2 linked regions of the Callithrix jacchus genome follow. The protein of the gene in region 1 purifies or fractionates together with the protein of each later gene. This does not show direct contact. Links are inferred from orthologs where the notes say so. Each region holds a gene or a part of one and is shown in the gene's direction. Other genes may lie near its edges.

Evidence for each region. The genes of interacting proteins can lie anywhere in the genome.
Region 2: the proteins of CDC5L (region 1) and BZW1 purify together in Homo sapiens (affinity purification with mass spectrometry; 3 studies listed by BioGRID and IntAct, with this or other methods). This does not show direct contact. The link is inferred for Callithrix jacchus from reciprocal best matches to the Homo sapiens genes CDC5L and BZW1.

Annotation. Positions count from the first base shown.
Region 1 is NC_133505.1:52,877,878-52,881,628, forward strand, and holds part of CDC5L (cell division cycle 5-like protein), read left to right. Parts: intron 1-2,135; coding exon 2,136-2,298; intron 2,299-3,751.
Region 2 is NC_133507.1:121,910,003-121,914,421, forward strand, and holds the start of BZW1 (eIF5-mimic protein 2), read left to right. Parts: upstream 1-1,558; 5' UTR 1,559-2,050; coding exon 2,051-2,136; intron 2,137-2,803; coding exon 2,804-2,877; intron 2,878-4,419. UniProt on the Homo sapiens protein: Translation initiation regulator which represses repeat-associated non-AUG (RAN) initiated translation probably by acting as a competitive inhibitor of eukaryotic translation initiation factor 5 (EIF5) function.

The DNA of each region.
Region 1 (3,751 bases):
ACCCCTCTGTCTCCTGGGTTCAAGTGATTCTTGTGTCTCAGCCTCCCGAGTAGCTGGGGTTACAGGCTCCCACCATGCCTGTCTAATTGGAGTGTCCTTTTGCAAAGTTTCGGATCCTGTCACGTTATTTTTGAATGCTTTATATTTGAGTTTAGAGTAGATTGATTCATTTTTAATGATTACTTTATGAATTTTATTAAGATTGTAATCCTTTTGTGTATGTATTACTGTTGCTTTTCCCCCAGCATTTTATTTTGAAAATATCAAGCATTTAGAGAGGTTGAAAGAATGTGTGGAAGTTATCAGTATTGAAATGGAATCACTTATGTAATATTTTCATGAAAAAGGAACCCTCATGTGCATATGCCCATGACAGAAATTATTGCAGAGATCTTCTGAAAACCACACAAATTCCAGATAAGTTGCTTCTGTGAAGACATTGCCCTACCAGGTTGAACATCCTAAATCTGAAAATCCAAAATCTAGACTTTTTGAGCACCAACAACATGACACTCAAAGGAAATGCTCGTTGAAACAGTTCAGTTTCGAAGTTTCAGATTTGGCGTGCTCAACCAGTATAATGCAAATATCCCCAAATCTGAAAAAATTCCATATCTGAAACTCTTCTGGTCCCACATTTCAGATAAGGGGTGCTCTTATCTATATCGGCAATGAAAATAAATGCCACCTCCTGTGCTAAGTCCCTGTAACCAGTGGCCTTTATTTCAAAGCAGTTTTCATGGACTTCTCCCTTTTATCATTAAAACCTTCCCCTTGCCCCAGCACCCTCGGGTATACCTGTGGTCTGTCATAGCACGCATATCCCACAGTCATCCCTTGTTGTTCCTGAATAAACTCCTTGTTTTGGAGACCCAGTCTCTCACCTGTTTAAGTTGACAAATGCTAAAGTGAACATCCGTATCATCATGCCACCACTTAGATTCTAAGATTGCTAGTATTTTAGTGTATTTGCTTTATCACCTATCGATCCATCAATTCATCATATTTTTAAATGCATTTCAAAGTAACTTGCAGATATCAGTTTGTTTGATCCCTAAGCACTTCCACATGCATTAACTAGAATTAGTATTTTTTTATAACTCTTTTGCTTAGTTTTAAGCTGCCATTTTTTAAGAAGAATCCCAAAAAAACCCAAACAGTACAACAGTAAAAAATAATACAAATACAAATACAGTATAACAACTATTTATATAGTATTTAAATTGTATTAAGTGTTATAAGTAATCTAGAGATGATTTAAAGTACATGGGAGGATGTGCAAACGTTATATGCAAATACGATGCCATTTTATATCAGGGACTTGAGTATCTGCAGATTTTGGTCCTGGAACCAATCACTGTGGATACTTAGGGACAACTGTACGTCTTGTTTGTCACCTAGATTGTAAAATCCATGGGGACAGGGACCATGTCTTATGTGATAACACCTTACCTATCAGGAATAGCTGTCTGGCAGCATCACCATTCTGCAACACACCAATATACAGGAAATAGGCAACCAGGAAAAAAAAAGACTTTGAATAATTAAAATATGGGTTGCTGCAAAGTCTGTGGATCTAATTCCTAGGAGACTCTCTTAGGCCTCCCTCAGGAGCTTACTCATGTTTAGATGGGATTCTAAAAGTGTGGTATTTGGTTTCTAAACAAAATGTAAAATGAGGAACTATTTAAAGTGTGTACATCAGTAGTAATGACAATGATAATGATGCGCGAGAGCCAACAGCTTGTTAGGGAGGAGACAAAACCAAATTCAAAGAGGAATCTGGTCATTGAGTGTGGTGGCCCATCTCCCTGCCCACTGCATATTCTTAGCTGCCCTAATGTGCCTGGAAAAGGTTGAAATAATGTTTAGTGGACCTAGTTTATTAGAAAGGCTAGAAAATATCATATGTAATGACTATTGACAGTTAAAAAGTAAAAATATTATGTTTAAATAACATGGTAGCTCGACCAAACATTGATTTTAACCTAGAGAGCCTAATGAAACTAGCTAGACAGAATTTCTGGAATCTTTATTTCTTTATTTCCTGCGAAATAATTTATGTGACAAACATTTGAAAGCACAATCTAAAATATAAGTAGCGCTGCTGTTAATTGGGATTCCTGTCTTTCTAGGACTCCTTCTAATGGAACTGAAGGGCTGACTCCCCGGAGTGGAACAACTCCCAAACCAGTTATTAACTCTACGCCGGGTAGGACTCCTCTTCGAGACAAGTTAAACATTAATCCTGAGGATGGAATGGCAGACTATAGTGATCCTTCTTACGTGAAGCAGATGGTAAATGTCAATTCCCTTTTAAAACTCTTAATTTTTTTTATATCTCATGGGTGCCAAATTAAAATTTCTCCTGTTAGTTCATATCACGTATACCTTAAGAATCTATACACCTGTGGATGCCAAAAAAAGAGAATGATTTGTAAGACTTGATGAAAGAGGGAATCTTTTGGGCTCAAAACCTACCTTTCCTTATGCTTACTAGGTTTACAAATATTGATGTTTGTTGTTGATTTTACTGAAGTTTTCTTCAGCAAGGTGAAGTAGAAAGCTAATTGTAAAAGTTAAGTTTTGCTTCTGCACATGTAATTGCATTTATTACTTTGCTATTGGGCCTTATTATCTGATGCTACAGAAATCATTGTGAAATTAAAAAAATAACTTCTAATGATACTGGCTTGTTTTCATTTTAAAATTAATTCTAACCTAATGTATATATTTGGTTGATTTATATATGTTTTTTTAAAGTCCAAATTGATATCAACTAAAGCCACCTCTGACTGGATACATAAGAATTAAACATTGAGAACTTCATGCATGCAGAGCATGCATTTGGACATTTGAGGGATCTAAAGTTGAATAAAGATGTCCTTTGTCTTAAGGAAATTTATATTCTGGGGAGATTGGCAGTACTAAACTAAGTCCAAAAATAATTGTAATATCAGAACAGAATAAGCCCTTTGAGTAAAACCAATGTGCTTGGGGTAAAGAAAGGAATAATCACATTTGTTGGGTAACAGGAAAGCCTTAATTGAGGAGGTAGGTTCTGAAGGAAGATGGAGGCTGTCCCAGATGGAGACCACAATATGAGTGAGCACGGAGGATGTTTTGGACCTAACAACCCATCTGTTCCTCACAACCTAGTACATGTTAGTAGTAGTGGGAAATGAGGCTGGAAAGGCGAGCTGAGGATGTGGTGAGAATATTCTGGGAAAACTCTGGGTACCAGGAGGCTTTTTTGGTAATCAGGACTTGACTCTCTTTTGCCTACATGGGATTCAGTATTTCTATTAAAAATAAACACACACATACAAATTCAGATATCTTTCAGAGTGCATTTTATTAGTCCAAGGACAAACTAACTTTTGAACCTGTTCTTTTCATTTGCTGTTACATTTCAGTGTCAGAAATGTATTCCCTCAAATGAAAATTATAGGGGTCTTTTTTTTGCCCTGTCCTCAAACCTTCTACTGGAATATCCCAGAGTATCTTCAGTAATAACAGGTGAAAGTTTTCGATTGGTCTGAATGTTGGGAATAAGGAAGAATAGAAAACAAAGCAAAGATTTATCTTAGTTCTGAAGTCAGGATTATTTTTCTAGAATTAATACTAGGCTGATTTTTTTGAGACCTTTCTCTTCTTATAATTTTTAATTTTTGTAGATACATAGTAGCTGTATATATTTATGGGATATATGAGGTATGTTGATATAGGCATGCATTTGTACTAATCATGT
Region 2 (4,419 bases), on another chromosome or scaffold:
GAGAGACAGAGATCTGACTCCGGCCACTTCCTTCTGCTCCCCACAGCCTTCCCAGTCACACTAGCTTCCTGCAGTTCCTCCAACAGATCTTTTTATTTCCTGCCTCCTTCCCACTGCTGTTGCCTCAACTTGGAAGGGCATAGAGCCTGGATTTAACAAATATTTGCTTAATGATTCAGTAGATGATATTGGAACTCTTTTAAGGGGAGTAAATGTTAAATCCTTGAGAATGTATGAGACTGCCACAGAAGAAAGTATGCAGAAAGAAAAGGTGTCAGTACAGAAGAGTCAGCAAATAACTGTGCAAGAGCACATTCAGAGCGTAACCAGGATAACTGCAGACACGTTCCAGGAGACAGGTAACACTCAATGCTCAGCGGAGGCAAACGGTGAAGAATGAAAGAATCACTGGGTTTGGCAATAATTTCAGGAAAGAAAGTTGAGGAAAATTTTCCATGAGGTTGCGCGGGGGTAGGGAGATAGAAGTCAGATAATTAAGCAAAAGAAGTCAACTAATACAGACTATTTTATTAAAAGGTTCAAGGAAGAGAAGCCAATCTCCTTCTACCAGAAAGTAGGGAAACAACCAGAGAGAAGCAAACTGCGGCACAGTGAATAAAAACATGGGGCTACATTCTAAAGGCGCTGTGCATCTCTATCAGCAGAGTTTTGACAGGTTCCCAGTGCTTTTCACACGCACTATCTTATCTGATCGTACCCCAGCTCCCTGATGATACACCCTCTAACTGAGGGGTTCCCAAGGTGTGGTCCGTAGACCAGCTGCAGCATCACAGAGAACTTGTTGGAAAGGCACATTCATGGGCTCCACACCAGGCCTACAGAATCAGAAACTGCGGGTGGGGCCCAGCAATCTGTTCTAACAAGTCCTCCAAGGGATTCTGATGCTCTCCAAGTCTCCACTGCCATCACACTTGGGAGACGACCGCTGCAGAGCGCGGTGGCCGCGGCTGGAGGGCAGAATTGCCTCTTCTGAACCCTCGGCTTGTGTCCTCCTCGCTCCTAAGGGAGGCAGTGAACGAGACAGCCCCTCAGAGCAAAGTCGTCCCGCTAGGGACTCAGCCGGAGCGAGTTCCGCCCACCCCAGCCGGGGCGGAGGCGAGGTGTGGTTTCCTTCCCCAAGCCACGCCCCCGGACCCGCCCCTAGCATCCGCCCCCGCCCTCCGGTTTCGACTTCCGGCGCTGGAGGAGGGGGCCGGTAGGGAGGGATTCGTCCAACTCTGAGACCGGCGCGGGGCGGCTTTGCTCTTCCAACCCCTCCGTGTGTTAACAGGGCAGAAGACGCAGCGGCGGAAGAAAAATAAGCTAGTCTAGGACAGGTATCCAGGCGACGTGGAACCCAGTAAGGGAAGAAAGAAGCCTTGAAACGTCTCTCCCTTCCCCTGTTTCGGTCCCTCACCTTAACCCGCGCGGAATGGAAAAGGCAGAGGCGCTCGGCCAAGATCTAGGCGGGCCGCCGGGGTGGGGCCAGGGGAAGAAATCTCGCGATAGGAGAGCGGTCCGGGCGGGGGTGGCACCTCTCCCCGCTCCTCCTGGCGTTAGTTCCGGTCGCAGAGGAGACACCGCCGCAGTTGCAGCTACATTGGGGATTTCTGGCTCTTTGCTCTTCGCCTTAAATTCGGTGAGGCGCGGCGCCCGGCTTAACCCGAGCCGACATTGCAGGCCGTCGACACTGGGCAGAGGGCGAGTGAGGCAGCGAGCTGGATGCGGCCCGGCTAGGATGGGTCCGAGCGGAGGCCGCCTCTCGAGGCCCGGCCGGATCCTGGGCCTGAAAGGCTGCCGCTTCGGCAGGGAGGCCGAGGGGCGGCAGTGGCCGGGTCGGGAAGTGGGGTCAGGGTGCGCGCCGCGGCGCCGGCGGCGAAGGCCGTGGCCGAGGAGGCCCCCTCTGGGCGCTTCCTGGTCTGGGTAACAAAGCCACCGCGGCCTCTGTTGGGTGGTATACGCGTGGAGGCTTCCGCCGGGAGGGGCAAAGGGGCCACCAACACCACTGCGGCCACCGTCTCCGCCGCTGCTTTCGCTGGAGGGCGGGCGGATGTACGGGGCGGCTGGGGCCCCGGAGCGAAGCGCCTCAGCGTCTGTGGTCCGTTCGTTGCGTCGGCCGCCACCGCAGGCAACAGGGTTAGTAGAGAAGGAGCCACGGCACCCTACGGCGCCCCGCTGTGGCCAAGGGAGTCCTGGGCAGGAGGCTAGGGTGTGGAGAGGGAGACACGTGCCCGGGGAGGAGGCTGGGACTGTGGGATATGGGCGAAGGAGGCTAGGCTGGTTGCTCTCTGTTAGTTTTGCAGGCTTGAGTGGTGCAAGGCGGCGGTCACAGGCATGATCTAGGGTAGGATGGTGCTGCTCATAACCAGGCCTGTCAGAAGGAAGGGGTTCACCTTTTGAGTGTTTTAGAATTGGCATACATGTTTTGGAAGCCTCTTGACTATGGTGGTAATCTGCGTTCTGCGCTTCTTAGTGGTCGTGGAAGATGTAAGTGAATGTAAAGAGGAATGTGGAGGAAACTGAGCAATTAGGTTTAGGATGGGTCATCAGTGTAGCACTGTAATGTCGCTTAAAAGTGTAGTTCACAGCACTAATTTAAAGAGTTTCTTGTAGAGAAAAATGCAGATTTTGACGTTCTGTTTGATTAAAGTGAAGGTAATTCTTTGTGCCTGCACCGGGTATAATTGGAAGCTGAGAGTGCGTGTTCCATTCGATTCATGTGTGACTAGACTAAGGTTTGATGCTTTGTTTTAAAAATGAGTATTATGGCACTGATATTAAGGCTTTATTACTCCTTTCCTAGGGTGTCTTTTATGAATAATCAAAAGCAGCAAAAGCCAACGCTATCAGGCCAGCGTTTTAAAACAAGAAAAAGAGGTAAACATTTATGTTTTAATGTCTCTCTCCAAACTTCCAGAATATATTGTGTTTCTTGCCTCCTGTTATAGGCACTTGCATAGTACTAAAGTCTCAATAGAAGATACCAGAAAGTAACTTAAATTTCTCATTGACTGCCATTTCAGATACACCTTTAATATTTCTACTGCTTTCTCAAGCCTTAATTTTTAGTAAGAATATATCTCTAAGCTGGTTAGTGAATCTTTTTAGTGTGAAGGTAAAGTACTTTTTTAAAACAAAAATAAGGGCTCTGTTTTCACTAGCAAGCAGTCTCATTTCAGCAAACTTAAATGAGCAAAAATGTTAGTTTATAAAAGGAAAGCTCCTAATGTAGTCACCCAGATTTTGTGAAAATTTGTGAGAAAACTCAAGACTTCACCCATGGACGTTAATTATGGAACAGGATTTACATTGTAATGTCTTTCAAAATACAGACTTAGTAGGGAAAATATTAGAATTATATTACTACTTTTTTGCATTAGTGTGTACTTAGGTGAATATTGAATTCTGTAGCAAAGTGCTGTACTAATGATACAAAGTTAAATAAGATGTGGTCTCATATTTTTAACGTTTTTGCTCAAATGCACTTTAACCTTATTTTATAGGAGGTTTTGAGGAAATGAAGAACTGGGTCAGCTATTGGTTAGAAGTTGTGTTTTTCTTTTTCTGCCTTAAGTAGCAGACATTTTGAGATATATATGGTAGAATTTTATAATCACTAATCATAGGCTGTCTGTCCCCTTGGAGTGGTGGTGGGGAAACCAAAGTGTGATTTGATTCTAATCTTTGCAGATTCGTTTAGATTTAGCTGGTAAATTTTCTTAAGGAGCTGGAGTTGTAAACTAGAGCAATTTGTCAGTAAAAGGGGAAAGTCTATATCTCTTGAATATGTGGATTATTGATGTTACCTTGATATAAATAATAGCAAGTAGCTTTATCATTATTATTAGCATCAGAGAGAGGTATCACTTCTGTAGTTCCATATAAAGATCATTCATGGCCTGGCTATTGATGATTAGGGTCCTGGGTAGGGTATGCAACAAGCCCTGTTTTTCTGGGACTGAGGGAGTTTCCAGACACAAGACTTTGAGTGCTAAAACCGGAAAAGCGCTGGGCAAACAGAGGTATTTGTTACCCTAGTACTGTGTGAAAATTAAGATATCATCTACTCTAGATTGGGAAAGCAAAACCCTATTACGGAGTTTGTGAAAGCAACTTAGTTACAGGTTGGCGATGTGCACTAGGCCGTGGCCTGAGTGCTTTTTATATTATTAATGTCATTTAGTATTTACAACAACTTTATGGGATAAGTACTATTATTATTTTTTTTTTTTGAGAGTGTCTCCCTCTGTTGCCCAGGCTGGAGTGCAGTGGTGTGATCTCAGCTCACTGCAACCTCTGCCTCCCTGGTTCAAGTAATTCTCCTGCCTCAGCCTCTTGAGTAGCTGGGATTACAGGAGTGAGCCACCACACCCGGCCTTGGATAGGTACTATTCTTACCCACATTTTATAGTAGGGGAA